Anolis sagrei: one gene and its partner. The protein of the gene in region 1 binds, or shares a complex with, the protein of each later gene. Links are inferred from orthologs where the notes say so. Each region holds a gene or a part of one and is shown on either strand. Other genes may lie near its edges.

Region 1 (15,487 bases):
TGAAATGTATTTAAAAAACACAAAGTTTGCAAACTTGCCATTATATTAAATGTCCTTTGACCAGTACCTGGCTACTTGGAGTGCCTCTGGTGTTGCTATAAGAAGGTCCTCCATTGTGCTTGTGGCAGGGCTCAGACTGCATTGTAATAGGTGGTCTGTAGTTTGCTCTTCTCCACATTTGCATGTTGTGGACTCCACTTTGTGGCCCCATTTCTTAAGGTTGGCTCTGCATCTTGTGGTGCTAGAATGCAGTCTGTTCAGTGCCTTCCAAGTCACCCAGTCTTCTGTGTGTCCAGGGGTGAGAAAGGCAGGGTATAAAGGAAGTAAATAAATAAACACTCCCTCCCTTATATGCCTACTTGTGCCTTAAGGTCAACCTTCATTGAGTGCTTCTTGATCTTCTTCTCAGCAAATGGATGTTAGAGCAAGGTCCTTTTCTGTAGGGGCCCCTGGTTATGGAATGTTCTTCCCAGGGGAAATATGCCTAATGCCAACACTGTTGCTTTTTGAGACTTCTTGCATCTTTGCTATTTTAATTGCGGTTATATATTACTATTATAACTGTTTTATTTATTCTCTGGTTTCAGCTTCCATTTTTTGTGCTTTATAAGTTTTTGCATTATATGTTCATGAGACTGGGTTTTGTACTTGGAGTTGAGGTGCTGGGTTTGGGCCTGCCACTTTTGGACTCTCGCTTGCTGGGGTGTTCCAGCGAGTGTCTCTGTAGATCTAAGAAAACTATGTCTTGATTTAAGTCGTTGACGTGCTGGCAATGCACCCTGAGCCCTGCCACATGCACAATGAAGGACCTTCTTGTGGCAACACCAGAGGCACTCCAAGTGGCCAGATACTGGTCAAAGGACATTTAACCAACTACCAAGTTTGCAAAATCTGTGGGTTTTTTTCTTTGTCTTTTTAACCTGTGTGTTTGTTAGAATTGTAACACAATGGTATGGTTGCTGATGACATGATAAATAAATAAATAAAATACTTGGAGCTTGGATTTGTTATGTTATTAACTGATCACGCACTTTGGCCTTTTCTGCGCCTGTGTAGGTATGGTTGTTCATGAGCAAAAGTAAACAGGTGGATGTTTTTCCCTTTCTTTCAATGCATGCTTGTGTGTGGAATAATGATTCTAATCTCTAATTGTATGAGCACAGAAATGGGGATGATAGTTGTTTTGAGTTAATAAAGATCATAATCATATAAATGTGCCCTTAAGTTACATCATGTACCTTAGTATTAGCCTTTTCCTAGAATTGCCACCCTTTATCTTGGCACACGTGGACCAATTAGTTCCTTGGTGTGTCTGGAAGGTAAAACCAATCCAGAGATTGCTTGTCTCCTGGCATTTACACACAAGCAGAAAGCAAACTGCTTGGAAAGGGCAGCAATTAAAACCTGTAAATAGCTGAGGACATCTGAAGAGTCCAAATGTGTCAAACTAGAGGCCTTTCTAGTCCAGCATCCTCAGAGCCCAGCCAGATCTCTTCAGAAAGCATATCCATAGCTCTTGAGGCAACGTTCTCCCACTGAGCACTCTTTGGGAACTATTATTTACTGACATACTGATTTCGTATAGCCAACTTTACCATGGCCTATAAATAGAGCTTTCCTTAATTAAGATAGCTTATCAAGAGTCAATCACTTCTGGACTACATATGCCATAATCTTCCAGCAGGAGTGGCCAGTATTCATGCCACTTGTTATTTCTGGATCTTGTAGGATAACATTTTCCCCAAGCTCTGAGTGTATCCCCTTTTAAAGCTATCTTGTGACCTTTACCACATTTTGTGTCCATGAATTCTATAAATGAACACCAGGATATAGCAGTACTTTCTCAAGCTTGTCTTGAACATGCTGCCAATCAATTTCACTGCATGACCCTGAGTTCTAGTGTTATGACAGAATGAGATATACTTCTCCTTTCCTCCATACCATGAAGGACAAAAGACTCAAGCTATCTCCCTGCCATATGACAGAGTTCTGCCCGGACTATTTTGGCATTGATGCAGGGTTGGAAATCAAATGGTTCTCCAGATGTCGTTGGAGTACAACTCCATGCAGAAAAAGGCTGGGAGTTACAGACAAGGTGTAAAGCAGGGGTCCACAAAGTAAGGGTCACGGGCCGGATGCATCTCTCCAAGGTCATTTACCTAGCCCACGCCCTAAACTTTACACTTAGGGTCACCCTAAGTCTGAAACAACTTGAAGGCATCATCAACAACAAACCTGGTTAACTTGACTTTCTCATAAGCTAAAAACAGCCTCACACTTCCCATTGAAACACTGGTAAGGTTAAGCTGGTTAAATTGTTCTTCATTTTAAATATTGTATTGTTCTTTTAGGGTTTTTTTGTTTTACACTACAAATAAGATATGTGCAGTGTGCATAGGAATTTGTTCATGTTTTTTTCAACCTATAGTGCATACTTTAAAAGTCTGAGGACCCCTGGTCAGGCATGTAGCCGGGGGGGGGGGGGGCTCAGGGGGCTTCAGCCCCCCCCCCCCCCCAAAATTTTCATGGTGGTTCGCGAAAAGGCCTTATTGGTGCATTATTTAAACTGTTACGTTTATTCATATCATGATCTGATCACCATACTCAATATATCCCATATGCATGGGGATATTGGGGTAATGATACAAAAGGTTTGCTAGGCTAGACCCTCTTTCACTCAGACTCAGCCCCCCCCCCCCTCCGAAACTCAGCTAACTATGAGAGATGTTCAGCAGTGGAGCTCACTGCTTCAGAGTGAGGTAGAGGCTCCTTCTTTGGAGGCCTTTGGCCATCTGTCGGGGGTGCTTTGAATGCAATTTTCCTGCTTCTTTGAAGGGGGTTGGAATGGATGGCCCATGAGGTCTCTTCCAACTCTATGATTCTATGATCCCACTTTTGGGAGAGGGCAAACTATCACTGAAACATCCTACAATCTGGAGAGCAATGTGTAATTAGAAGTGCTGTTCATGAATTCAGGGTAACTTACCCTGTAAGTTAACAAATAATGTTTCACAGACAACCTTGATTACTCCTACAATAGCCTTCTTAACATTTCGTAATGCTAAATCATTTAGTATACTTCTGACTGACAATTCCTGAGAAGGCTCAACTGGATGGGAATCTTGATGGTCCAATTTTTGTTAGATAATTCAAGGGAGCTCATCCCTCATCCCCTAGTCTAGAGAAGGAGGAATCAAGCCCCTCTTGCCCAGTATGTTCCAGGAGTCTGTGGAACTTGCAGCATCAATGGCACATGATTCCTACCTCTAGCTTAAAACAGAAATCACACACAGGATACTCAGGGAACTTCATGCAAGACCATGATATGAGAGCCACTTTTCTGACATTCAGCCACCTTTGAGTTGGCATGATGGAAGAACACCTGAAAGCCCCTTTCCTCTTTACCTTGATGTCTCAGGGTCATCTACACTGTAGAAATAGTTTGGTTTGACACCACTTCAACTGCCATGGCTCAGTGCTTTGGGATCATGGAAGTTGTCACCTCACAAGGTCTTTAGCCTTCTCTGTCAAAGAGGACCAATGCCTCACCCAACTCCAACTGCCAGAAATCCATTGAGCTATAGCAATTAAAGTGATGTCAAACTGCATCAATTCTACAGTGTAGATGTACCCTGTGAAAGAAATAAGATGACATACAAACTGTACTAAAGAACTTAAGATGAACTAAAAAAAAGCTTTGGCTGCAGCCCCTCTTACAGCTTTATTAAAATTATAGAATCATAGAGTTGGTAGAGTCCACAGAGGACATCTAGTCCAATCCATTGCTCCAAGTCCTAGAGTTCTTCCACATTGCCCCTGTATTCCAGGATCTGATCCCAGATTATCTGGCAGTGGAGACAGATATATTCCAGTTTAAAACAGATAATCTGGGACCCGATCCTGGAATATAGGGCAGTGTGAAAGGGCCCCTAGTCTCCAGAACATCAGAAAACAAGCTTGCTCCCTCCTCAATGTGACATTCTTTCAATTATGTAAACATGACTCCCCTTTCTGCTTTCTTTTCTCTAAGCTAAACATACCCAGCTCCCCAAGATGCTCCTTATAGGGCTTGGCTTCCGAACCTTTGATGATTTTAGTTGCCCTTCTCTGGACACGTTAGCTTTCAACATCCATCTTGAAATGTGGTGGCCAGAACTAGATGCAGTATTCCAGGTGAGGTCTGACCAAAGCAACATAGAGAGGGACTATGACTTCCCTCAGTCTCCATGCTATACTCCTATTGATGCAACATAGAATCGCATTGGCTTTTGTAGCTGCCACATCACACTGACTCGTGTTCAGCTGGTAGTCTGCTAAGGCTGGATCTACACTACCATTTCATACAATTTCAAAGTGCAGATTAGCTGCATTGAACTTGATTACATGGCAGTGTAGACTCATAAAATCTGAAACTGCATTATATGGCTGTGCAGATTTTAAGACTCCTAGATCTCTTTCACATGAACTGTTTTCAAGCTAGGTGCCACCAATCTGTGACTTTCATTTTGTATTGGAATAGCTCTCTTATCTGTTATGGTTATGGTTCTGATCCAAAGTGACTTTAGATTTGACAACAAGGTTCCCTATGGAACAAGAAATGCAGACTGGCTTGCATTCATCCCATGTCCAAGCTGAGAACTTGGAGCCCTTTGCTGAGTCAATCCCTGATGAACTGTGGTCAGGATTCTCCTTTTTCAGCTGGATCTACACTGCCCTATATCCCAGGATCTGATCCCCCATTATCTTCTAATCCCAGACTATCTGGCAGTGTAGACTCATATAATCCAGTTCAAAGCAGATAATATTATGTAACAAAATTTGAAAAAAAATCTGTTCCTGGTTTTTGAAAGTGTTATTTCCCATTTAATTCTGCGGTAGTTACTTTGTTTTGTTTTTGTTTCCAGTTATCTTTTTTATTTAATTTTTTTAAAATGACAATAATCGAACTTCTATTATGTTTTCACACTGTTGGGTTAAGCTTCAACATTTTTACCAGTACTTTGAAAGTAGTTACTATTTTCCAGAAACTTCATTTTTGTGGCTGCCCCAAAGTGTGTTGAATTAGTTGAGACTTGATGAGATATTCATTGAAAAACTATAGCAAAATGTGCTGCAGGATGTACTTTTCCATGTTTGTATGATAGAACCAATGAGAAAATGACCTTTATAACTTCAGGAACAAAAGATTGTGTTATATAGCATAATCTGGGATCAGATCCTGGGATCTGGCCCACTGTAGACCAGGGGTCCTCAAACTTTTTAAACAGAGGGCCAGGTCACAGTCCCTCAAATCATAATCCAGAGGGCCAGATTATAATTTGAAAAAAGCATGAATGAATTCCTATGCACACTGAACATGTCTTATTTGTAGTGCAAAAAACACTTTAAAACAATACAATAATTGAAATGAAGAACAATTTTAACAAATAGAAACTTATTAGTATTTTAATGGGAAGTGTGGGCCTGCTTTGGCTGATGAGTTAGGATTGTTGTTGTTATGTGCTTTCAAGCTGTTTCAGACTTAGGTTGACCCTGAGTGAGGGCCGAGTAAATGAACTTGGAGGGCCGTATCTGGCCCTTGGGCCTTAGTTTGAGGACCCCTGCTGTAGACCAAGGCCCCTTCTATGCTGCCATATAATCCAATTATCAATGCTGATAATCCACATTATCTGCTTTGAACTGGATTATATGAGTCTACATTGCCATATAATCCAGTTCAAAGCAGATAATATGGATTTTAGGGGGTAGTGTAGAAAGAGCCCTAGCCTTTGGGCTCTGTGTCAGAATGAGCAAGGAGTACATCCCGCAAGTGAGCCAAAAGGCAATTTATACCAAAGGTGAACTTGAACTTGGGGAGGGATGCTCAATAAAACTGCATGAATTTGAAAAGTATGGTTTATTCTGGATCCCCACTGCTCTATACCCCAGGATCTGATCCCAGATTATCTGCTTTGAATTGGATTATATGCTTCTACATTGTCAGATAATCTGGGATCAGATCCTGGGATATAAGACAGTGTAGATCCAGCCCCAGCAGCACCTGCCAGCATTACAAAGCATCAGTGATGAGAGGGAGCAAAGGGCACTGAGAAGAACCAGGGCAAGGAGTTGATGGAAGAGGAATCTCTCTCCTTTTTTCCTTCTCCTTCTCCTCAGTGATGAGAGGGAGCTAAGGGCACCGGGAAGGAAGGGGGGAAGGAGTTGATGGAAGAGGATTCTCTTTCCTTCTCCTTCCCTTTCTTCTCCTTCTCCTCCTTTCTCCTTCTCAGTGATCAGAGGGCACTAAGAGCACTGAGAAGGACAAGGGCAAGGAGTTGATGGAAGAGGGCTCTCTCTCTCCTTCTCCTTCTCCTCATCCTCCTCCCCCTCCTTCTGAGTGATCAGAGGGAGCTAAGGGCACTTAGAAGGAAGGGGACAAGGAGTTGATGGAAGAGGGCTCAATCTCCTCCTCCTCCTCCTCCTCCTCCTCCTCCTCCTCCTCCTCCTCCTCCTCCTCCTCCTCCTCAGTGATCAGAGGGAGCTAAGGGCACCGAGAAGGAAGGAGGCGAGGAGTTGATGGAAGAGCTCTCTCTCCTTTCCCCCTTCTTCTCCTCCGTCTCCTCCTTCTTCACTTTCTTAGTGATCAGAGAGAGCTAAGGGCACTGAGAAGGACGGGGCAAGGAATTGATGGAAGAGGACTCTCTCCTTCTCCCTCTCCTCCTCCTCCTCAGTGATCAGAGGGATCTAAGGGCACTGAGAAGGAAGGAGGCAAGGAGATGATGGGACTCTCTCTCCTTCTCCTCCTCCTCCTTTCCCCCTTCTTAGTGATCAGAGGGAACTAAGGGTACTGAGAAGGAAGGAGGCAAGGAGATGTTGGGACTCTCTCTCCTTCTCCTTCTCCTTCTCCTCCTCCTCCTCCTTTCCCCCTTCTCAGTGATCAGAGGGAGCTAAGGGTACTGAGAAGGAAGGAGGCAAGGAGATGATGGGACTCCCTCTCCTTCTCCTCCTCCTCCTCCTTTCCCCCTTCTTAGTGATCAGAGGGAGCTAAGGGCACTGAGAAGGAAGGAGGCAAGGAGATGATGGGACTCTCTCTCCTTCTCCTCCTCCTCCTCCTCCTTTCCCCCTTCTTAGTGATCAGAGGGAGCTAAGGGTACTGAGAAGGACGGGAGCAAGGAGTTGATGGAAGAGGACTCCCTTCTCCTTCTCTTTCCCCTCCTTCTTCCTCTTCTCCTCCTTCCCCTCCTCTTCCTCCTCCTCCTTCACCTCCTCCTTCTCCTTCTCTTCCTACTCCTTCTTCACTTTGTTCTCCTCCTCCTCCTTCTCCTCTTTCTCCTCTCTCTCCTCCTGTGGGAACCAACCTCCTCTTCCCTCTCCTCCGGCCAACTGTTTCCAGGACTGACCTATCGGCATTTGGCCGCTCTTTGCCAAGGCCAGCTCCCGATGAAGCAGGAGGAGATGGGAGGCAGCCCCGCGCTCCTCCCAAACAATCCATAACTTCGCTTCGGACAATGCTATTCCCATTCCTTTGGACAACACAAATCCCTCCTCAAAGCGCCCCTGAGAGTCGGGCAAAGGGCTCAAGGGGTGATGCTTGCTTCCTTGCCAAAGCGAAAAGGATCAGTTTGGGGGCGATCTCCCCCATTTCTTTCTTTCTTTCTTTTTCCCCCCAAGCCCCGCTCACCTGAAGAACAGCTTGGAGAACACGTTCGCCTTCTCCAGCGGCGACCTCTGCATGGCTCCTTCTGCTTCGGAGGCGGCAAGAGGCGGAGAGGGAGAGCTGGCCTTCGCAGGAGGAGGAGAAGGAGAAGAAGGAGAAGGAGAAGGGTTTTCGGCGCCCTATGGGTCGCGCTTTTCTCCCCCCTTAAGGCTGGCCGAGGTCCCCGCCTCCCTCTTTCTCCTGCCCTTCTCCCCGCCTCTCGGACTCCGCCGGGCTTCAAAAGCCTGCCCTCGCCTGCCCGCCCCGAACTCCTCCGCAGGAAAGCGCCTCGACAGGTGCCTCTCGGGGCTGAGAAAGGCGCTCTTGCCTCTGCCTCCTCCTCTTCTTCTTCCTCCTCCTCCTCTGCCAAGCCTTCCCGGTGCAACCCCATGGAGAGCTTTGCCAAGGCTCTTCTACATTATGCTCACCGGCAGGCTCAACACATCAACAGTTCTTTCCTCTCGTGATACCTATGAAAAGATCAAGGTCCCAGAACCCTGTTGGAAAGCATTGCCAAACTCAGTACAGGTGGATATTGTGGCAATAGTGCACTCTTGATGCCATTTGAACTGCTATAGAATTACACTAGTATGTAACACAATTCAGACATGTGTTGTCGAAGGCTTTCACTGGGTTGCTGTGAGTTTTCCGGGCTGTATGGCCATGTTCCAAATGCATTCTCTCCTGACTTTTCGCCCACATCTATGGCAGGCATCCTCAGAAGTTGTGAAGTCTGTTGGAAAATAGGCAAGGGAGGTTTATATCTCTGTGAAAGGCTCAGGGTGAGAGAAAGAACTCTTGTCTATTGGAGGCAGTGGTTCCCAACTACTTGACCAAATACCACTTTGTGTCCCCAAGGAACCCTTTGACCAGGGACCACTTGAGCAGGGACCTCTTTGATCAGAGACCACTTTGACCAGGGACCACTTTGACCAGGAACCATTTTGACCAGGGACCACTATGAGCAGAGACCACTTTGACCAGGGACTACTTTGAACAGAGACCACTTTGATCAGGGACCACTTTGACCAGGGACCACTATGAGCAGGGAGCCCTTTGACCAGGGAGCTCTTTGACCAGGGACCACTTGACCAGGGACCACTTTGACCATGGACCTCTTGACCAGGGACCACATTGGTCAAGGAGCCCCTTGACCAGGGCCCTCTTGACCAGGGAGCTCTTTGACCAGGGGCCACGTTGGCCAAGGAGCCCTTTAGCCAGGGACCGCTTTGACCAGGGACCACTATGAGCAGGAGCCACGTTGACCAGGAACCACGTAGACCAGGGAGCCCTTTGGCCATGGATCACTTGGCCAGGGACCTCTTGACCAGGGACCACATTGGCCAAGGAGCCCTTTGACGAGGGAGCCCTTTGACCAGGGACCACTTTGACCAGGGGCCATGTTGCCCAAGGAGCACTTTGACCAGGGACCACTCTCCAACGTTAGTACCAAAAGGGTTACGAATCAGTTTTTGGTCAACTTTAGATTCAGTTTGAGGTGCTGATTCAGAAAACTGCATAGGATAGACCACATCAGCTCTAGTTTCTGATAAAAAAATATGCCATAGTTAACGACAGGGAAGGAGTGGCAGGTGGCACGAAAGGAGTGGAAATAGAATAAATAAATTAAAATAAAATAAATATAGAGGAAGGAGGCTCGCAGACTGGATTTTTGTCCATGCGGCCCACTGGTGGTCTGCAGCCCACAGGTTAAAATCCACTGATTGGAAGCAAGTGTGAATATTGCAATTAATCATCCTGATAAGCATTGCAAAGCCTTGCCACTTCAAGGCCTTGCTGATTCATGCATGTGAGGAATCCTTTGTTCGGAGGTGTTAGTTGTTTCATGTCTGGATTTCCCCTGTTTTCTGAGTGTTGTTCTTTATTTACTTTCCTAATTTTAGAGTTTTTTTCTAATACTAGTAGCCAGATTTTGTTCATTTTCATGGTATCCTCCTTTTTATTGAAAGTATCCACATGCTTGTGGATTTCAACAGCTTCTCAGTGTAGTCTGACATTGTAGTCTGTCCTTTGCTACATCCAGCAAAGGACAAGAGGGATCGTCTCACCTATGCAGGGGCCTACCATATACCATGCAGCTGTGGACAAGGTTACATAGGGACCATCAAACACAGCATTGCCCAGACATGAAACATGAAAGGCACTGCTGATTACCTCAACCAGAGAAGTCAGCCATAGCAGACCACCTGATGAACCAGCCTGGATACAGCATATTATTTGAGAACACAGAAACGCTGGACCACACCAACAACCACCATGTCAGACTACACAGAGAAGCCATTGAAATCCATAAGCATGTGGAAAATTTCAACAGAAAGGAGGAAACCAGGAAAATGAACAAAACCTGGCTACCAGAATTAAAAAACTCTAAAACCAGAAAATATATAAAGAACACCACTCAGAAAACAGGGGAGTTCCAGACAGGAAACAATCGGAGCCAGCTAAGATCAGATTACATCTCCATATGCCTGAGTGCATAAGAAAGTTTGTATTTGTTTCCTAAAGGAGGACAGCAACGGGGCAACTCTGATCTCCTTCGGGAGGGAGTTCCAGATGTGAGGGGCAACTACAGAGAAGGCCCTCTCTCTCATTTTCACCATCCGGGTTTGAGATGGGGGTGAGAACAAGAGGAGGGCCTCCCCTAAGGTGCAGTTAGCCCGGTAGTCTGGACCCGAACCGTTTTCTAGGTGCTGCAGAATAGAGTGGTGCTGTGAATTTCCTTGATCACAACACTACTATTGATGCAGCCTAGAATCGTATTGGATTTTGTAGCTGCCACATCACACTGCTGCCTCATGTTCTGGTGGTAGTCTGTTAAAGCTGCATCTACACTGCCATCTCATGTCATTTCAGAATGCAGATTTTATTTATTTACCGTGTCAGAAGCGAGTTGAGGGTACAGTAAAAATGCATTTAAAAACACAAAAAAAGTTTTAAAATGCTAAATGTCCTTTGACCAGTATCTGGCCACTTGGAGTGCCTCTGGTGTTGCTATAAGAAGGTCCTCCATTGTGCATGTGGCAGGGCTCAGACAGCATTGCAATAGGTGGTCTGTGTTTTGCTCTTCTCCACAATCACATGTTGTGAACTTCACTTTGTGGCCCCGAAACAGAGCGCAGCCTGTTCAGCGCCTTCCAGGTCACCCAATCTTCTGTGTGCCCAGGAGGGAGTTTCTCAGCCACTGATTAAGGTGTTGGGTTTTAGCCTGCCACTTTTGGCTTCTCATTTGCTGAGGTGTTCATGTGAGTATCTCTCTCGCTCTAATGAATGCAGATTGGCTGTATTGAACTTGATTCTATGACAGTGTAGACCAGTATTTCTCATCCTTCCTACTGCTGTGACCTCTTAATACAGTTCATCATGTTGTGGTGACTTCCAGCCATAACATTATTTTTGTTGCTACTTCATAACTGTAATGTTGCTAGTGTTATTAATCATAATGTAATTATTTGATATGCACGATGTATTTTCATTCACTGGACCACATTTGGCACAAATACCTTATACGCACAAATTTGAATACTGGTGGGGTTGAGGAGGGGTTGATTGACTTGTCATTTGGGAGTTGTAATTGCTGGGATTTATAGTTCACCTACAAACAAAGAACATTCTGAACTCCAATAGTGATGGAATTGAGCCAAACTTGGCACACAGAATTCCCATGAACAAGAGAAAATATTTTAAGGGTTTTGTGAAAATTTTGGAGTTGTAGTTCACCTACATCCAGAGAGCACTGTGGACTGAAACAATAATGGATCCGGACCAAACTTGGCACAGATACTCAATATGCCCAAATGTGAACACTGGTGGAGTTTGGGGAAAATAGACCTTGACGTTTGGAAGTTGTAGTTGCTGGGATTTATAGTTCACCTACAATTAAAGAGTATTCTGAATCCCACCAACAATAGAATTGAGCCAGACTTCCCACACAGTACTGCCATGACCAACAGAAAATAGTGTGTTTTCTGATGGTCTTTGGTGACCCCTCTGACATCCCCTCACAACCCCTCTGGGAGTCCCAACCCCCAGATTGAGAAACACTGGTGTAGACTCATAAAATCCGGTTCAATGCAGTTAATCTGACATTCTGAAACTGAATTGTATGGCAGCATAAATCCAGCCTAAGATTCCTAGATCCCATTCACATGAGCTGCATTGGAGGACTCAAAAAGATGTTCTCTTAGATTAAAATATATATATAGGGTTTGTAAAATTAAAATTGTAATCTTTCCTCTTTCATAGGGGTACTGTGCCCCTAATCCCAACAAATAGGAAGGTCTCACTGTATAATATAAGGCAAGATTACAAAAAATAAAAACCATCCACATTTACAACCTATAATTATGAACACTACAAATTACATGAACACCATACACCAAATTTAGCACACCATTAAACCCAAGGAGAAAGACAAATGACATCTGACTTCTGAACTAATGATTATAATTACTAAATTATCATACTTTCTCTAGAATATACTTTAAACAAGCTTCTGCACATTATTTAATTCTGCTATTCTTCTGCTGTAGATAATTTCCCTCAATAATCCATCAGAAAAACAAGTCAATTCCCAATCCTTATTAAAACTATTTAATGACTTTTCCTTAATCAAAACTGTCAATTTGTCCATCTCAGTAAGGTCATACAACTTTATTAAGCAGTTTCCTTCTGATGGGATAGCTGGGCTATTTAATTTCTGCACCTATATCAACCTACTGAGTATTCTTTCACAACAGAGAGAGATATTCCATGCATAGCTTAGAAATATGCATGTCTAGGGTGATTTTCTTTTACCTGGCTTGTTTTTACTGGCTTTTGGGTCCTTTTGGCTCCTGTGCTTATCTTTTATCATTCTAATTTTTTAGTTTGTGTCTGGCCACCCATGGCACAACTGAGCTGCTGAACTTGCTGACTGAAAAGTTGGCAGTTCGAATCTGGGGAGAAGGGTGAGCTCCCACTGTTAGCCCCAGCTTCTGCCAACCTAGCAATTCAAAAACATGTAAATGTGAGTACATCAATAGGTATCGCTTCAGCAGGAAAGTAACGGCGCTCCATGCAGTCATGCTGGCCACATGACCTTAGAAGTGTCTATGGATAATACCGGCTCTTCAGCTTAGAAATGGAGATGAGTGCCACCCCCCAGAGTTGGACACAACTAGATTTTATGGCAAGAGGCAATCTTTACCTTTACTTACTTTACTTTGTCTGGCTTTACAAAGGTGAGTCCCTTTTGCACCCAGTGTGCAAAATTTTCCATGTGTTTGCAGTCTAATAAACCCTTCAGATCCCACACATTTCTGTATAGTGCAGTGTATACTAAAGTGGGCCTTTGGTACCCAATGGATACCAAAATCTATGGATGCACAATACCATTATAAAATGGCTTAATAAAATGGTACTCCTTATATAAAATGGCAAAATAAAAGGGGTTCGTTTTGAACTTCGTGTCATACTCAGTTAGGAATATAGGAAGCCAAGTCAGACCCTTGGTCCACCTAGGTCAATAATTCCTGCACATCATTTTTGTGAAATATTGTTTCCTATGCAGAACATATTTTTGGCTGTGTTCTCAATAAAAAAATTCTATTTTCTGCACAGCAAATGCTGGTTTCTGTACAAAAAGGTTGTGAATTTTGTGCAAATAAGTCCAAAATTGCAAATAGCCTTTCAAAAACTGCATGGTATTCAAAGTTTTTCTTTTTTTAAAAAAATTATTTACATACAGAAACGGAATACGAAACAATGAACGTTTCACAAACACATAACCCTACCACCAAGGCCTGACCAAGTATCATTTTCTTTGCCATAAATTTGTAAGTCAACCATTAAACAAATGCCATATCCAAAATTCCTGACCACCAAGGTTGTATTGTTTTCTTTGTTCACTCTCTATTCAAAAATTTTCTTACAATGAGAAGAAAATTGCTGAAATTACTTATTGCAACTTTTAAGAAGAAGTGTAGCGAAACATTAAATCCCTATTCTGCTAGTTGTCTTATTTCAGGGAGTTTGTTGGTTTTATCTAGAAGCAAACCTCTCACATTAAACCCTGCGATTATACTTACAGAGGGCTTTCAGACAAACCTTGTATTGTGCAACCTATTATATTTCATTCACAGAATTTTGCTCGCTGTTCAGACATTATCTTTTATTTGTAATCTGTGTTTTCTCACTGCTTATTTTTCTTAGCACAAGAAATCCAATAAGACAGGAAGGATAAAATAGCTGTCTAGTGTCTTTTAATTCACTCAACTTGAAGCTTCATGTCTAGAAGCATCTCAAGGCTTTGCCACAGGATCAACAACAACCACAAGCCACTTATTTGCAGAACATGACAAATTTACAAGGCAAGTAACTACCGGACTAAGCCCATGTGAAACGAGTGAGAAGCACTTTCAGTCCCTCTACTAGTTAGAATTTCAATGTTGGCAAGTTGGACTTATGGGCCCTTTGATTCCTCAGACCAGTGGTTCTTAACCTTCATAGTGCCGCAACCCCTTAATACAGTTCCTCATGTTGTGGTGACCTTCAACCATAAAATTATTTTCATTGCTACTTCATAACTGTCATTAAGCTACTGTTATGAATTGCAATGTAAATATCTGATATGCAGGATGTATTTTCATTCACTGGACCAAATTTGGCACAAATAGTCAATATGCCTAAATTTGAATACTTGTGGGTTTGGATCAAGGGTTGATTTTGTCATTTGAGAGTTGTAGTTGCTGGGATTTATAGTTAACTTACAATCAAAAAGCATTCTGAACTCCACCAACAATGGAATTGAACCGAACTTGGCACACAGAACTCCCATGACCAACAGAAAATACTGGGTTTGGTGGGCACTGACCTTGGGTTTTGGATCTAGAGAGCACAGTGGACTCAGACAATGATGGATCTGGACCAAACTTGGAACAAAAACTCAATATGCCCAAATGTGAACACTGATGGAATTAGGGGGAAATAGATCTTGACATTTGGGAGATGTAGTTGCTGAGATTCATAGTTCACCTACAATCAAAGAGCATTGTGAACCCCACCAACGATAGAATTGGGCCAAACTTCCCACACAGAGCCCACATGACCAACAGAAAATACTGTGTTTTCTGATGGTCTTTGGCGACCCCTCTGACACCCCCTCCCCCCATGACCCCTCCACTGGTCCTGACCCCCAGGTTGAGTAACGCTGCCTCAGACATTTTCTGCTGTTTCAAATGCCTCCAGGGATGGCAAAATCCATCATTTAAGCACTATTTAACATCAAAAATACTTTTTTTTCAAGACCAGACTTTAGGCAGTCTAGGCAGAATTTGTATGGTATGAATAGGAGCAAATTGACTTCTGGGTCTGTTACAGTGGGCCACCTCTAATTTATTCTAGTGGATACAGTAAGTGGTGATCCCACAAAGTAAATCACTGTTCTCCTGAGTTTGTTTAGATTCTGGAAGAAATTACGTATATTTGTAAGCTATCTAATTAAAGTTAATTCTGCAGGAATTTCATGTTTCACAACCAAAACAACACAAAGCATCAAGGGATGGGGGGAGAAATTGGAAGGCAATTCATAAGGCCAAACATTTGTTTGCTATAAAAAAAAATGGGAGGACCTTTCAGAATACTGCTAATCCAGAATGTCACAGGCAGCAGAAACCCATTAGGTTAGCGTAGCAAACTATATGTTGAAGGGTTTTCTAAGCCACTCACCAACACATTTATGCACACACACACACCAGTTATAGTAGCATGTTGCAGCAGAATGATGCGGTGTCACTTCTGGTTGCGATTTTTGGA
Region 2 (15,306 bases), on another chromosome or scaffold:
AGATAAAATTGCTTCATTTTCCTAAAGATCCTTCAGTTCAACCAGCTAGCTATGAACTGCAACATGAACTTAAGCAACCATGTGGTCTTTTATACCATAACACCTGATAAAAAGATAAATACAGCTGTGTGTTCTTTTTTTTTTTTAAGGGAAGGGGGAAGCAGAAAATACCATCTCTTATGTGGGTTAAAATATTAGCAGGTGTCACAAAGAGCAAAAAGTTTAAACAATGATAAGGAATCTTTATTTTGTCTGGCATGGGAAATTGATCTTATTTATTGCCCGATGTGTAATCTGCAAACACTTCCATTATCGGTAGTTTCCTCATTTGGCTAAATGTGACATCACAGAAGGAGCTGGGAGAAAAGATAAAGAGTTCTTTTATAGTGGGCTATAAAATATTTGGATATTCAAAACCCACCAGGAAAAAATACTCTGAAGCACCCAGTTAATTCATTCTTAGTTAAATGATCCAGAAAAAACAAGAACACTTATTTTGTTTCACATATGCTTTCCCATAGTTTAACAATAGTCATTGCTGAAATGAATTTTTAAAACTGATTAAAGCTCATAGTTGATATTGTCTCCTGGATAAATCTGTTGCTCAGATAACTTTACCCTCTTTTTCACTGTCTCACAGTCACCCACTGTGCATCCGTTCACTGACCCAAGTATGACTATATTATAGGCTGCTTAAGTCTGTTTCCATTCTTGCACCTTTGCTGTCTCTGAAACAGACAGCAATCCAGTGGTGAGGCCATTCATACCATCAAACTACTGCCATGGGGAATATTGTACTTGCTGCCCTGCTTTCTGTTGAGCCATTGGCTCAAGGAAACAAAACAAAAAAAACCCCCCATAACTCTGATGGATTTACTTTTAGCCTCCTCTTTGCCCTCAATGATTGGTCCATATGGTCCATAAAAACCAAGTTATTGCTCCACGCAGTTCTCCTCACATCCCTCCAGATTGCAACCATTGGATGGCCAATGATAAGGGATTGGGGAGACTTGTATCTAACAGCATCTGAATGACCACAGTTTGCTTATCTTGTACCAGCTGACATGACACTCTTCTGAAGAAATGCCTGATATAAATGTCAGTAGCTCTGCCACCAAAGCAAATGAGCAGTTTCCTATAGGCAACATTTTTATGCCATAGTCCAGATCAGTGTATTGCAACCGTTATGAACAGTCGTGTTTAAGTAGATCCTGGTTGCACACCTGCCATTTTAGCACATTTTTGTTATTTTTACAATGGTATGTTTTCCTCTTTCTCTTTTGGGCTGATCCCACATAGAATACAGTAACTTCCCATCTCCACTTCTTAATAATGTACAGTATTACCATCTTGATCTGCTGTTTCAGTCTGTAATGATTTAGAGCAGAGTTTCTCAAACTGTACTCCTTCAGATGTTTTGGACATCAGCTCCCACAATTCCTAACAGCTGGTAAGCTGGCTGGGATTTTTGGAGCTGAAGTCCAAAACAGAGCAGAGTTTGAGAAACACTGATTTAGAGGAATTCACTGCATTGTAATATTAGTGCTCCTTGTCTGCTTCCCAGCTGTCATTCGATAAAATTCCTTAACTTTGCTGTGTTTTCTTTACGTTTGACATTATTCTTTTGTTGCTTTATGTTTATTTAAAAAATCAGTGGATTTCTGTGTTTTTAATGCACTGTGCTGTAATGCAAATGTCTGGTTGCTCCTGACACGATAAATAAATAAATAAATAAATAAATGCACTGTGCTGAAAACTTTGGCTTAGAAGTCCTCTGATAAAGACAAAAATGTAATATAAGTCATATTGGATTATTTTAATGACAGGATCTGAAGGTCAGTATAGGAGTTTTTATCTGAATTGAGGTGAGATTTCAGAGAACACAATGTACTTAAAAGAAATTGACAGGGATTTGTCCTTGGATTCTGGTATTTGACCAAATTGCACCTGTCAGTGATAAAAATCTTTATTACATGAGAGTGTTTGTCACACAGCTTCAACCAGTGATTCTTTATGAACAGGATTTTGTTGTCTTATCAAGAACAAATGCTGCACCCCTCTACACACAAAGGCAGAACAAAAATTCAAAGGGAAAGAACAATTCAGAGGAACTGAACTGTCTCACTAGCCTGCAGAGCAACAGGGAGGCATTCCAGAATGTTTAACGCCTCCCATCCATCTGCTTAAGGTTGCAGTCAATGCACACCTGACTGTAGCAGAACTTTAAAATGCAGTTTTGTGTTCTGACTCCATCCAGTGTTTGTAATACTGTATTTTTTCTTAAGCGATCTTTTATGGTGACATTGACTAGTTGCTTTGATGTGTTTTCTCCCACAGAAGTCGCTTAAAGATAAACTTTAAAGCATTCTCTCCTCGGCCTTGTTGCATTCCAAGCAAAAAGGTTGGTGTTGAAGATGGGGGTGAAAGAGGAGGAGATTACTTTTGCTGGACTTTGTAGCCCCTTTCAAATAATTGCACTTAACATTTATTTTCCTAATAGAGTTAAGGATGTTCAATCAACAAAAATATTTTGAAAAATGGAAACTTGTACTAGTCCAAAAATAGTGTTGAATTAGCACAAGTCCAATACCATTTGGACTTGTAATAGTCCAACATTGGACTTGCATTAGTCCAAAAAATAACTCCACATATTTTTTTAAGTGGCATGGATAGAAAGGAGGAAATTTCCACTGGTGCATCAGGTGTATATGACGATAATCTAGTACATGTGGAGAAGGAAAGTGCCAGTTCCTCAGTAATTCAATATTATGTTCCCAGTAATGAGGAAATCTGATTTCCTCACAGCAGGTGCACTAGGTGGCTTTGTTGGTAATCCAGTGAAGTATTGCCCTGGATAAACCAAAGCTGACATCTAAGCTGTCTCAAGGGGACAGTGCATAGTTCCGTTAACTTTTCAAAACATATCACAGTGTACTTCATTTTATCATCTGTTATTTGGCTTATAACCCACCTTTCCACCAACACTGGTAATCAAGGTGGCTGAAATAATAAAATACTCATCTAAATTAAAGCAAATTCAGCAATAAAAACACAGCAATAACAATAAATGATAATTTAGTTGGTTAGCGGTCCCTACAGCCAATAAATAACTGAAATGCCAAAGGGCTTTCTTTCTACCAACAGAAGGACAAAGAAAAGAGAGAGAGCATGCCGCTTTCAACAAGGAATGGCCATTGTGAGATGACCTACTCTTCCCCAACAACTGCCCCTCTCATGGCTCATAGACAATGGGCACATCCCACTGGAATCAAAATCTGACCAGGTTTGTATGAATGAATGCTGCCTTTCATGTAGCCTGGCCCAGATTGTTCAGGGGGTTATAGGTGAACCATACGTACATCATAACTGTGTCTGTAAATAGCAATATCTGGGGGAAAACACTTATTTTGATAAATTTCTAGAATATTTAAGTTTCCCTAGTCTAACTTTTCAAAGCTTTGGATAGCCAGTGTAGCTGACACACCAAGCGAATCACATTTGGAACTGGCCCTGATCAACAGCTTGTCCAGAAGTCTGTGGCCAAATGGAGAATTCTAAACAGGCTTCACTTAGAGAATGCTGGAGAACAGTGGTTCTCAACCCTTGGTCCTCCAGATGTTTAGGACTTCATTCTTCAGAATTCCCGATCACAAGTTATGCTAGCTGGGGCTTCTGGGAGCTGAAGTCCAAAATATATGGAGAACCACTTCTGTAGAAGACCAATAGGTACCGATCCGGTGGGAAGGTAACTGCGCTCCATGCAGTCAAGCCAGCTACGGACAACACTGGCTCTTTGGATTAGAAATGGAGATGAGCACCAACCCCCAGAGTTGGACACGACTGGATTTAATGTCAGGGGAAAACCTTTTTACCTTTACCTTAGAAGACCAAATGGAGCATGACTAATACACATGGCAGAGCAAAAAGGTGTGATTATAGTCTTCAGAGCTTTCTGGACCATTTGCGATAGGAGGTTTTCACACCATTCTTTAGATATATATTTTTTTGTCATGTCAGGAGCAACTTGAGAAACTGCAAGTCGCTGCTGATGTGAGAGAATTGGCCGTCTGCAACGACGTTGCCCAGGGGACGCCAGGATGATTTAATGTTTTTATCATCCTTGTGGGAAGCTTCTCTCATGTCCCCGCATCAGGAACTGGAGCTGATAGAGGGAGCTCATTCGCCTCTCCCCGGATTCAAACCTGCGACTTGTCGGTCTTCAGTCCTGCTGGCACAGGGGTTTAACCCACTGTGCCACCGGGGGCTCCATTCTTTAGATTAGTGCTACTGAAAATAATGGTCTATGAAGCACTGCTGACCTATGAGATATCAGCTACTGGTCTGTGGCAAGTTTCTAGGAAAGTTTGCAATGATAGAATGGCACATATGATTACAGCCCTGGGTACGTTGGGGAAATGCTGATGTATTACATCAGCTACTTTAGTTACAATTTAGACAGAATCATAGAGTTGTTACCCAAGGGCCACCCAGTCCAACCCCCTGCTTTCAGGAACACACAATCAAAGCACCCCTGACAGATGACCATCCAGCCTCTGTTTAATACCTTACGAGAAAGAAATACCACCACGCTTTGAGGCAGCACTGTGATGTGTGAAGATGTGTGTCACTCCTCTGGTCTTCCAGATCCCTTGTGACACCCATTTTGGCCACAAAATGGAGTGAATTGTTCACATGGAACCTTCCAGAAATAGCAAATCACCATTTTGACAACCAGAAAAATCAAGAGCATTTTTCATCTTCACTCTCTTAAGGTGAACTATACACCCCTGCAACTACAACCCCCAAATGTCAAGGTCTCCAAACTCCACCAGAGCATATTATGTATCTGTGCCAAGTTTGGTCCAGATCCATCATTGTTTGAGTCCACAGTGCTCTCTGGGTGTAGGTGAACTACAACTCCAAAACTCAAGGTCAATGCCCATCAAACCTTCCAATAATTTCTCTTGGTCATGGGAGTTCTGTGTGCCAAGTTTGGTTAAATTCCATCATTAGTGAAGTTCAGGATGCTCTTTGATTGTAGGTGAACTATAAATCCCAGCAACTACAACTCCCAAATACCAAAGGTCTATTTTCCCCAAACTCCACCAGTGTTCACATTTCGGCATATTGAGTAATTGTGCCAAGTTTGGTCCAGATCCATCATTGTTTGGGTTCACAGTGCTCTCTGAAAGTAGGTGAACTACAACTCCCAAACTCAAGGTCAATGCCCAACAAAACCCTTCCAGTATTTTCTCTTGGTCATGGGAGTTATGTGTGCCAAGTGAATGCTCTTTGAGTGAAGATGAACTATAAATTCCAGTAACTACAACTCCCAATAACAAAATCTACTCCCCCCCCCCCAACCCCACCACTATCCAAATTTGGGCATAATAGGTATTTGTGCCAAATTTGGTCCAGTGAATGAAAATCCATCTTGCATATCAGATATTTACAACGGGATTTTGGCCTGTATCAATAGGTATATAGTGTCTATATCAGGAGTCCTCAAACTTTTTAAGCAGAGGGCCAGGTCACAGTCTCTCAAACTGTTAAAGGGCCGGATTATAATTTGAAAAATATATATGAATGAATTCCTATGCACACTGCACATATCTTATTTGTAGTGCAAAAAACACTTAAAACAATACAATAATTAAAATGAAGAACAATTTTAACAAATATACACTCATTAGTATCTCAATGGGAAGTGTGGGTCTGCTTTTGGCTCATGAGATTGGATTGTTGTTGTGTGCTTTCATTTCAGACTTAGGTTAACCCTAAGTGAGGGCCGGGTAAATGACCTTGGAGGGCCGCATCCAGCCCCCAGGCCTTAGTTTGAGTACCCCTGGTCTAGATCCAGGGAAGCCATTCTCCCCCTCTACTCTGCTTTGCTTAGACCACATCTGGAATACTGTGTCCAATTCTGGGCACCACAATTGAAGAGAGATATTGACAAGCTGGAATATGTCCAGAGGATGGCGACTAAAATGATCAAGGGTCTGGAGAACAAGCCCTATGAGGAGCGGCTTAAAGAGCTGTGTATGTTTAGCCTGAAGAAGAGAAGGCTGAGAGGAGACATGATAAGGGCCATGTATAAGAATGTGAGAGGAAGTCATAGGGAGGGGGGAGCAAGCTTGTTTTCTGCTGCCCTGGAGACTAGGATGCGGAACAATGGCTTCAAACTACAAGGAGAGTCCCCCTGAACATGAGGAAGAACTTCCTGACTGTGAGAGCTGTTCAGCAGTGGAACTCTCTGCCCTGGAGTGTGGTGGAGGCTCCTTCTTTGGAGGCTTTTAAACAGAGGCTGGATGGCCATCTGTCAGGGGTGATTTGAATGCAATATTCCTGCTTCTTGGCAGGGGGTTGGACTGGATGGCCCACGAGGTCGCTTCCAACTCTTTGATTCTAGGATTCTATGATTCTGAATTGTCCAAGATAGATGTTAACTTAGTCATCTGTTAACTTAGGACACCCAATGAATTCCTTGAGGCTTTCAGCTCTGTGATTCTATGGTTCAATGGTTCATAACAATAGCAAAATTACAGTTACGAAATAGCAACAAAAATAATTTTATGGTTGGGGGTCACCACAACACGAGGAACTGTATTAAGGGGTCGCGGCATTAGGAAGGTTGAGAAAACCTCAGGTCCTCCTGCTGATTGGGACTTCGCTTCCCAGAAGCCCCTGTCACCACTGCCAATTGCCAGGAATCCTGGGAGTTGAAGTTCTAAACAGACAGAGGACCCAAGGTTGGTTGGAGCCGCCCCTTCAAACTGCGCAGCAGCGCCCCTTGCGGCCGCAGGGGAGGGAGGCAGGAAGGGAAGCTTCCCGACCGATCGATGATTCGGAGCTCGGCCCGTCCCACCTGGCCAGCGGGTCTCCGTTGTGGCAGGCGAGGGAATCGCTCGCTCGGGGTCTCCCGGCTGACAGGAGAGGAGCCGCCGCTCCCGCGCATGCGCCGTGGGGAGTGCGCGAGCGAGCGAGTGAGGGAGTGAGGCGCAGGGAGGCCAAGGCGGCCCGTGGGTCGGTGAGTGGGTGGGTGAGTTGGCGGAGAGGCTTGAAGCACCAGTGGGGCGCCATGTCTGGCGGGGGCTCCTGCGGGGGGGCGGGCCCCGGGGCCTGCGGTGGGGCAGCGGCCTCCTCGTCGGCTTCGTCCCCCGGGGGCGGCGGCGGGGGCGGCCTGTCGATGTTCCGGTGGCTGGAGGTGCTGGAGAAGGAGTTCGACAAGGCCTTCGTGGACGTGGACCTGCTGCTGGGCGAGATCGACCCGGACCAGGCGGACATCACCTACGAGGGCCGGCAGAAGATGACCAGCCTCAGCTCCTGCTTCGCCCAGCTCTGCCACAAGGCCCAGACCGTCTCCCAGATCAACCACAAGCTCGAGGTGAAGCTGCCTTCCCTTTTCAGTCTCTCACGCGGGGGCTTCCTCCGAGGAACCAAACGCTTGACACACGCTGCCCACCCGTCCCCCTGATGCTCCCTCCACACCCCTCTTTCATTGAAATACAAACACCAGGGTCGAACCAAGCACCTCCCCACAGATCATGTTAAGTGGCAACAGCACCCTTTAGAGCAGAGCCTTCCAAACTTTTCAGGAGATGGTACACTTTTTTTGCCAACATAATTTTGCGACACAGTAATTCAGTTTTATTCACAAACTGGAGGTTATAACAGGCATGGGCAAACTTTGGCCCTCCAAGTGTTTTGGGCTTCAACTCCCACAATTCCTAACAGCCCACCGGCTGTGGGAGTGGAAGTCCAAAACACCTGGAGGGCCAAAGTTTGCCCATGCCTGTTATAAGAGATAGTGACACATATATAGGTTGTTAATAGTGAAATCTTAGAATCATTGAGTTGGAAGAGACCTCTTGGCAGTCCAACCCCCTGCCAAGAAGCAGGAAAATTGCATTCAAAGCACCCCTGATAGATGGCCACCCAGCCTCTGTTTAAAAGCCTCCAAAGAAGGAGCCTCCACCACACTCCGGGGCAGAGAGTTCCACTGCTGAACAGCTTTCACAGTCAGGAAGTTCTTCCTCATGTTCAGGGGGAATCTCCTTTCTTGTAGTTTGAAGCCATTATTCCGTGTCCTAGTCTCCAGGGCAACAGAAAACAAGCTTGCTCACTCCTCCCTATGACTTTCCCTCACATATTTATACATGCTCCTCCTCTCAGCCTTCTCTTCTTCAGGCTAAACATGCCCAGCTTTTTAAGGCGCTCCTCATAGGTTTTGTTCTCCAGACCCTTGATCATTTTAGTTCCCCTCCTCTGGACACACTCCAACTTATCAACATCTCCCTTCAGTTGCGGTGCCCAGACTTGGACACAGTGTGATTCCAAGTGTGGTCTGACCAAGGCAGAATAGAGGGGTAGCATGACTTCCCTGGATCTAGGCACTATAGTCCCATTTATGCAGGCCAAAAACCCATTGGCTTTTTTCTCCCGCCGCATCACATTGTTGGCTCAAATGTATAGGGACACAACATATTTCATGAACATCTTTCTCTCTCTGAGATATGATTCATTGCTTATTTCACCTTGACCCAGAACTTTCTCATTACATTTGTGTGACACACCTACACACTGCGGCTGACATGCTAATAATATTTTAAAAAAAAAAACTTTATTTGTAGACCACCCTCTCTCCCCAATAGGACTCAGGGTGGTTTACACACAAGAAAGGCAAACATTCAATGCCCAAGTCAAATACAAACATTTTAAAATCAACAGATTAATACCAAAATAATAACCATAAACTTATGACAAAAGAGAAATTGACAGGAAAATAAGGACCAAATACAAATAATCGAATAAAACTAATTATAATGCTAACATAAATTAACCATTTAGACATAAATCCTAGAAAAGGCAATTAAAATGACTATCAAGGTTGTTCTTCTCATATACCATAGCAGCAGTGGAATAGGTTAGGACTGTCCTAATCCTCCTCCTCTTCATACGCCAAAGTGCACATGTGCGTTTTCAAGAGGAGAGGAGGGTGGGTGCTACTTTTAGTTCTTTTGGGAGGGAATTCCACAGATAGGGAGTGATCATGGAGAAGGCCTTCCCTCTTGTTCACACCAACTGCACTTGTGATAGGGGTTGGACTGAGAGGAGGGCTTCCTCTGCTGACCACAGTGCACGGAATGGTCTGTATGGGGAGATATGATTAGACAAATAGCCTGGACCCAAACTTGGACCTCTAACAGTTTAAAGGTCTGCTTTTTTAAAACAATATTTTAATTAAGATTTTCATAAGTAAATAAAATAGATATTTAAATGAGGGAGGGAAGTGATGTGGAATAGGATGGTGTTGGGGAAGGGGGAAAATGAAGAAAAAATGCTTCACAACCCTTCTTTCTTAATGCACAGAATTCAAAATTGACTTCTCACTCTCCAGCCCAAAGCATAATCATCTTCTCATTAAAAGGTTTTACAGGATTCCAAAATACTCCAAAGTTGTCCACATGGGTGGCTGAAAGTGTGACACCTTTGTTCCCTGTGTTTTATACACAAAATTATTTTAAAATATCTTGTATAAATATCCTTATATAAAAAAATCCATCCAAGACACTTCTGTCCCCAAGCATTTTGGATAAGGGACAAATGGGTATTGGGTTTTGTCTTGGGTCATATTATCAAGGTGTCTCATCATGTATGTATGTGCATATGCATATACATATGCAGGTATTCCAAAATCCAAAAAACAAAAAACAAAAACCACTTCTGGTCCCAAGCAGAAGTACCATCTAGCATAGAGTCTCAACTTCTGCCTGTTGAGTAAAGCAGGTAAAGCTTAATCCCCAAAGCCCACAAATATCATTATATTTTCCTTCTTCTTTATGAAAATTGTCTCATGTTTTTAGACATTAAAGATGATTAGAGGTGAATGAAGTTCAAGGGGAAGGAATAAGCAGAGAATAGCTGCCCGAGTTCAGTTCCGGGATGAGAGGAATAGGAAATGGGATGTTGGTGTAGGAGTCATACGTGAAAGAAGTAATGTGCAGAAGGAAAATGACTTTTCTTCACAGCTCCGAAAAGTTGCTTTTTGGAATACAAGCTCCAGAAGGTGGGGAATTCTGGGAGCTGCAGGCCCCAAAAGTAATAACCCCAAGCTCTGTTCCCCCACTCCACCTCAAGTCATAGGGAGGAGTTCATTTTCTTCTGCTGGTGTTTAATGGCAAAGCAAGGCCATGAGAACACGCCATCTCATTTCAACCCTTCAAATGGGATTAAAAGATACCTTATATACATTTTTCATGAGTAGCTGATTGGTGAGCAAATTGGTCTAATCTGGCCATAGCTAAGGGAAGACAATGTGTTGACCACATCTAAGTAGCCAGTGGCACCCTAAAGACAAAGAACTTATGGGGAGATAAACTTATAGGAATTTAGTTTGTTAAACACAACTAATTGTCCAGTGTGGTGGCTTTGTCGTGCTTAAAAGTGTTGCCCTTGGAATTGAAAAAGCCTGGGTCCAAGGTTTCTGAAACTTTGTTGCTTGGATATTGTGAGTTGGAGACTCAAAAGGGGAGGTAAATTTTAGATACAAGTATCATACTAAGATTTCATGCTTTCCCACCTCAAAATATGTACAGGTTGAGTATCACTTACGCAAAATGCTTGGGATCAGAAGTGTTCCATATTTCAGATTTGTTTGGATTTTGGAATGTTTGCATATACATAATGGGATATCTTCAAAATAGGACCCAAGTATAAACATGAAATTCACTAGTATTTCATATATACATTGTATATATAACCTGGAAATAATTGTATACACAGTATCTTAAATAATGTTGTGCATGAGACAAAGTTTGGGTACATGGAAGCAAAAGTATCACAGTGGATGATTTTGAATTTTGGAGTATTTTTATTTTGTTCTAATTATAATAATAACTGTTATTTGTTAGCTGCCTCTTGGGGGGTACAACACAGTTAAAACACCCAGATAAAACATATTACTGCAAAATTCAAAATTGCAAATAAGGGATAGTCAACCTGTATAATAAAAAGTGTCCCCTCCACTTGGATTTGGAGTTTTTGAAATAAAGGTTTAGATGTAGTCTTGAATTGCTAATAATATTAAAATGAAGTTCTCTGCCTTATTCATGGAACAGTGGCAGAGCAAGTGCATTTGTAGATAAAACATCCCAGGTTCAGTTCTTAGCATCTTCGGTTAAAACTTTAGGTATCAGGGGATGGAAAATTTTGTCTTCTTTCTTCCTGAGATCCTGGAGGACCTCTGCTAATCAGAACAGGTATGATTGTAATTGATGGTTAAGTTATTTGTCCTGACAAGCAATGTGATATGACTTGGTGTGCTCTTTTATAAAGCATAAAAAACCCAGTATTGGGGGAAACGTGGTCAGCTATATCATGAAGTAATATGGGGCTGTCACTTGCAGATTATTATTGAATACTGTTGAGGGTACTAAACATAAAGAACAAGCATCCCACACTATATGAAATGGGTGTTTTTCAAGTAAGAGTGGAGATGCTGATTGAATTTCGGGCTCATGTACCAAGATGTCCAGGTTGGACCTTGAAGAAAGCATGCTAAAGAGCTTTGTATATATGAAAGCTACTGTGTCCAAAATCTGATCTAAAATACATACTCTCAGAAATTCTAAGTAGGTTTCAAGTTTTTCCAGTGATGTGAGGATAAGCAGACAGAATACATTTGCAAAAATGATAGTGGTATAATTTCAATACTGAACTTCCTTCATATAATTTGGTAAATACTTGCAGAGCCAGAAAAAGTTTATGTTGCAAGAATGCATTCTTTCATGTGTAGTTATGGGGCTATGCCTATTAGGGACATCCCTATGATCCTGACTTTGCTCCAACTTTCATTTTAAAAAGCTCTCATATATATTTATTTTATTACTAATACTATATATCTTATGCCTTAACTTTTTGAACAATTTCCATTTAACTATAGTATTAAGAATACTGCTACAGAAATGCCAACTTTTGTAAGGTTAGTGAAAAAGAGCATATCTAATTCATATTTGTTAACTGCCAAGTGACCATATGAATGAGAGACTTTGAAGTCACAGTGTTAACAGCTTTGCAGTTCAGATCTTGCCCACTCAAGGCTGTGGCTTCCTTAAGTGAGTTTATCCACCTATGGTATTAGTCATAGTCATATCCCAGTAACTGTGTTTCTTGGGTTTTTAAAGTGCAGTTAAAGAAAGTCAATATGCTACCGAGATAGGTCACTATATGTCTACTGAATGAGTTTGAAAAAGTAAGAAGTAGCTTGGTAAATAATAATTCTGGAACATATCCAAAACAAACAAAGCTGTTTTGAGAGGTGAAAAATATAAAAGCCATTCAAAATATGTGAATCTAAGGATCCATCTACACCAAAATGAATGAATGCAGTTTGACATCACTTTAACTGCCATGGCTCAGTGCTGTGGAATTGTGGGGGTTGTACTTGAAGCTTTAAAAGAACTTTCACATTCTTTGCTGTTGTTTCACCCAACTACAACTCCCAGGATTTCATAGCATTGAGCCATGGCAGTGGTGTCAAACTACATAAGAGGTCAGATGCAGAAATGGGTGCTCTCGGGTAATTAACAATTTAGATCAGCCTTTTCCAATCTTTTTTATTGTTGCATATTTTGAAGTGCTACTCCTTTCTGCCTTTGACAGCAGATCACAAGTCACAGCAAATTAATTTTCTCTCCCAATATCCAAAGTACCTGGAAGGATACTTTGTACTTTGGAGGAGGAGGAGGCCAGTTCCACATAAGATGAGCAGTGCTTTTGTCAACTATTGTTCTAATTATACAGCTTTACATATGTTCTTTATTGTAATGAATTTCCAGATCTGGGAGCCAGTTTAATCTCCGTGTGAACCTGGAAGGTTCTAGAATGGAGTTCCTATCTCTGTCTTCCCCAGAAGTCATATGTAGCTGAACATCTTATTAAAATGCATCTTCTCCCATCTTTGAAGTTCATCATTTCAGCATGGGATTGCTACATTATTTTTCTTGGCACTCTGTATATATTGTTGGAGACAATTCAGTTTTAATATGCATGTGTGCAAACATTGCAGCAAAGCATAAAACTTGATGGGAAAAATTGGTATAAATGTAACATCGGGAAAATAAAATAAATATTTTGACAAATTTAAGTTGTGTTTGCAACGCTTTAGAGAGGCTGGTTGTAGTAAAATTGATATCTGTCATACATGCAGTCTAATGTGTTCACAGTTTGTGACATTGTGTAAGTATTTATAATTTTGTACTAGTTGAGCTTTTTGAGCCGTATATTTTTAGGATCATTTGAGTACCTAGAGGCACCACAATACCGAGACTGTGAATTTTGGGTTTGGTTTTTTCTACCTCTGTACTTTTTCACCCATTCCATTCATTATATAAAAAAGATGCATTCAAATGAAGCATGAGATGCCACTGTTTTAATTTGATACTTTTATCCTGGTTATATGCATTGTAAAACTAACAATGCTACACATTAACTAATCTCATAATCAGAAAGTAGCTTATGCTATAACAGCTATTTCAGTGTTACTCTTTACTTAAAAATATTGTCAGTCCAGAAAGCAAAGAATGTGATAAATATTCTGTGTGTGCATTCAAAAGGAAATGTACCTGTTGTGATATCACAGTATCATGCAACTAAGTCCATAATATAAGCAGAATTATGGACAAGAGACTAGTTAAAATTAACAAGCAAAAAATAATTAAAACACAGCGATAATAAATAGTTGCAGGCATGGGTATCAACATGCTGGGAAAATGGTGTCAGGTTGATTCCAGTCATTTAGTGGCTGTTGCAGAGGTTGTGGAAGTGAGTGGCACTCAGGAGTTTTAACGCTACACAGTTCTTGGACTCTACAACAGTGCAGAAAATTTCTTCCAGGAAAAGGATGGTGTGAGAATGAAATGTCGCTAGGCTGCTTTATTTCTTCAGATAGATACTCTTCATATTTCACCAAAAGAATGTTTCCAGCTCTTGCTAAAGGAAAAACAACAATCCATTAGTTTTAGAGAATCTGAGATTACTGTTAACTGCAAATAAGGACTGGGTGCTGGATCATAGGGACTGGATCTCCCTCCAGTTTTGAATCCTAATTTTCTGATTCTCATATTAATATTTAAAGAGCCATCTACAGTGATGTGATTCAAAGTTGTTTATGTACTAGTTAATATGTAATGTAGTCCATATCTTCAGAGCTTAAAATCCTGTAATGTAGTCTGTATCTTCAGAGCTTAAAAGTGGGAAATGTTGATATTGGCTTCCCAGTTTAACTATATTAAAATATCTTCTTCTTCCATGTCAATTAATTTATGTTTCATATACACCTTATATATTATTATATATTAGTAATAATTTTGTACATGAAATAAAGTTTCTGTACATTGAACCATCAGAGACCAAGGTGTCACTATCTCAGCTACCGATAAGGATAATTTTTGGTTTTGGAGTAATCCAGATTTTGGAATTCCAGATAAGGGATGCTCAGCCTGTAATTCTTTTTTGAAAGGAAGTGTAACTTTAAAAAAAAAACAAAACATACTCCCCTTCTTAGATTTCTGCAATTGAGAATATAGATATTTTCTAAATTTTGAACAGATGGCAGTCCTTTTTCATCTTTGCTTCAGAGGAAATAAATCCTGCTTAAACATTCAAAGAGATAAGTCAGTTTTTTTAGTATTTTTATTTCCTGCTAGCTTGTCATGCATTTAGACTGTGTGTCTTCTGGAAGATGAAGATTATAACAGCAATTCCTGCCTAGTCATTCTTGTTTGTAATTGAAGGGGTGTATGCTGATTGTTATGGGTGAAATATAAAAGAAAATTAGGATAATCGTACATCCTGATGTATTGCCATTGTTTAGTCTATGGCAGGCCTTTTATCTCTTTGTGGTGGTAAACTTAAAATATTTTGTGGTCCACTTTCATATTTCCCAGTCTTCTTGGAGGTCAGTTTTTCTATCTATCCCCTTTAGAAGTAAGAATTGAAGATAAAAGTTAAAATATATTTCCAGTCTTTCCAGAAACACACTAAAATGTCATTTGGCATACCAGTTTTCAAAGCAATCATTGTGTTTATCTATTACAGCATATAAAGGGGGGAGGGGAAGGGAAGCTGGATATGTCAGCACCTTTAAACTGATATAATTTAGTATGAGCTTTCATGCCACAACTGGCTCACTGTGCTTAAAAACCTGTGGCTTTAATCAGAAGTGAATTGTTACCCACCTAGCTCATGATAAAATAGATCAATTGGCCTTAAAGGTGCTCCTAGATTTCTCCTCATCTCATTTTGTAT

Evidence for each region.
Region 2: the proteins of CFTR (region 1) and GOPC are in contact, whole or in part, in an NMR structure (PDB 2LOB), measured with the Homo sapiens proteins. The link is inferred for Anolis sagrei from reciprocal best matches to the Homo sapiens genes CFTR and GOPC. Residues at the interface, in NP_000483.3 of Homo sapiens: Val1475, Gln1476, Asp1477, Thr1478, Arg1479, Leu1480; in NP_065132.1 of Homo sapiens: Gly298, Leu299, Gly300, Ile301, Ser302, Ile303, Thr304, Gly305, Glu308, His309, Glu317, His319, Thr347, Lys348, His349, Lys350, Glu351, Val353, Leu356.

Annotation. Positions count from the first base shown.
Region 1 is NC_090025.1:130,800,495-130,815,981, forward strand, and holds the start of CFTR (cystic fibrosis transmembrane conductance regulator), read right to left. Parts: upstream 7,773-15,487; 5' UTR 7,714-7,772; coding exon 7,661-7,713; intron 1-7,660. UniProt on the Homo sapiens protein: Epithelial ion channel that plays an important role in the regulation of epithelial ion and water transport and fluid homeostasis. Mediates the transport of chloride ions across the cell membrane.
Region 2 is NC_090021.1:89,457,307-89,472,612, forward strand, and holds the start of GOPC (Golgi-associated PDZ and coiled-coil motif-containing protein), read left to right. Parts: upstream 1-7,078; coding exon 7,079-7,384; intron 7,385-15,306. Other genes in the region: nephrocan-like, read right to left, coding at 6,866-7,080.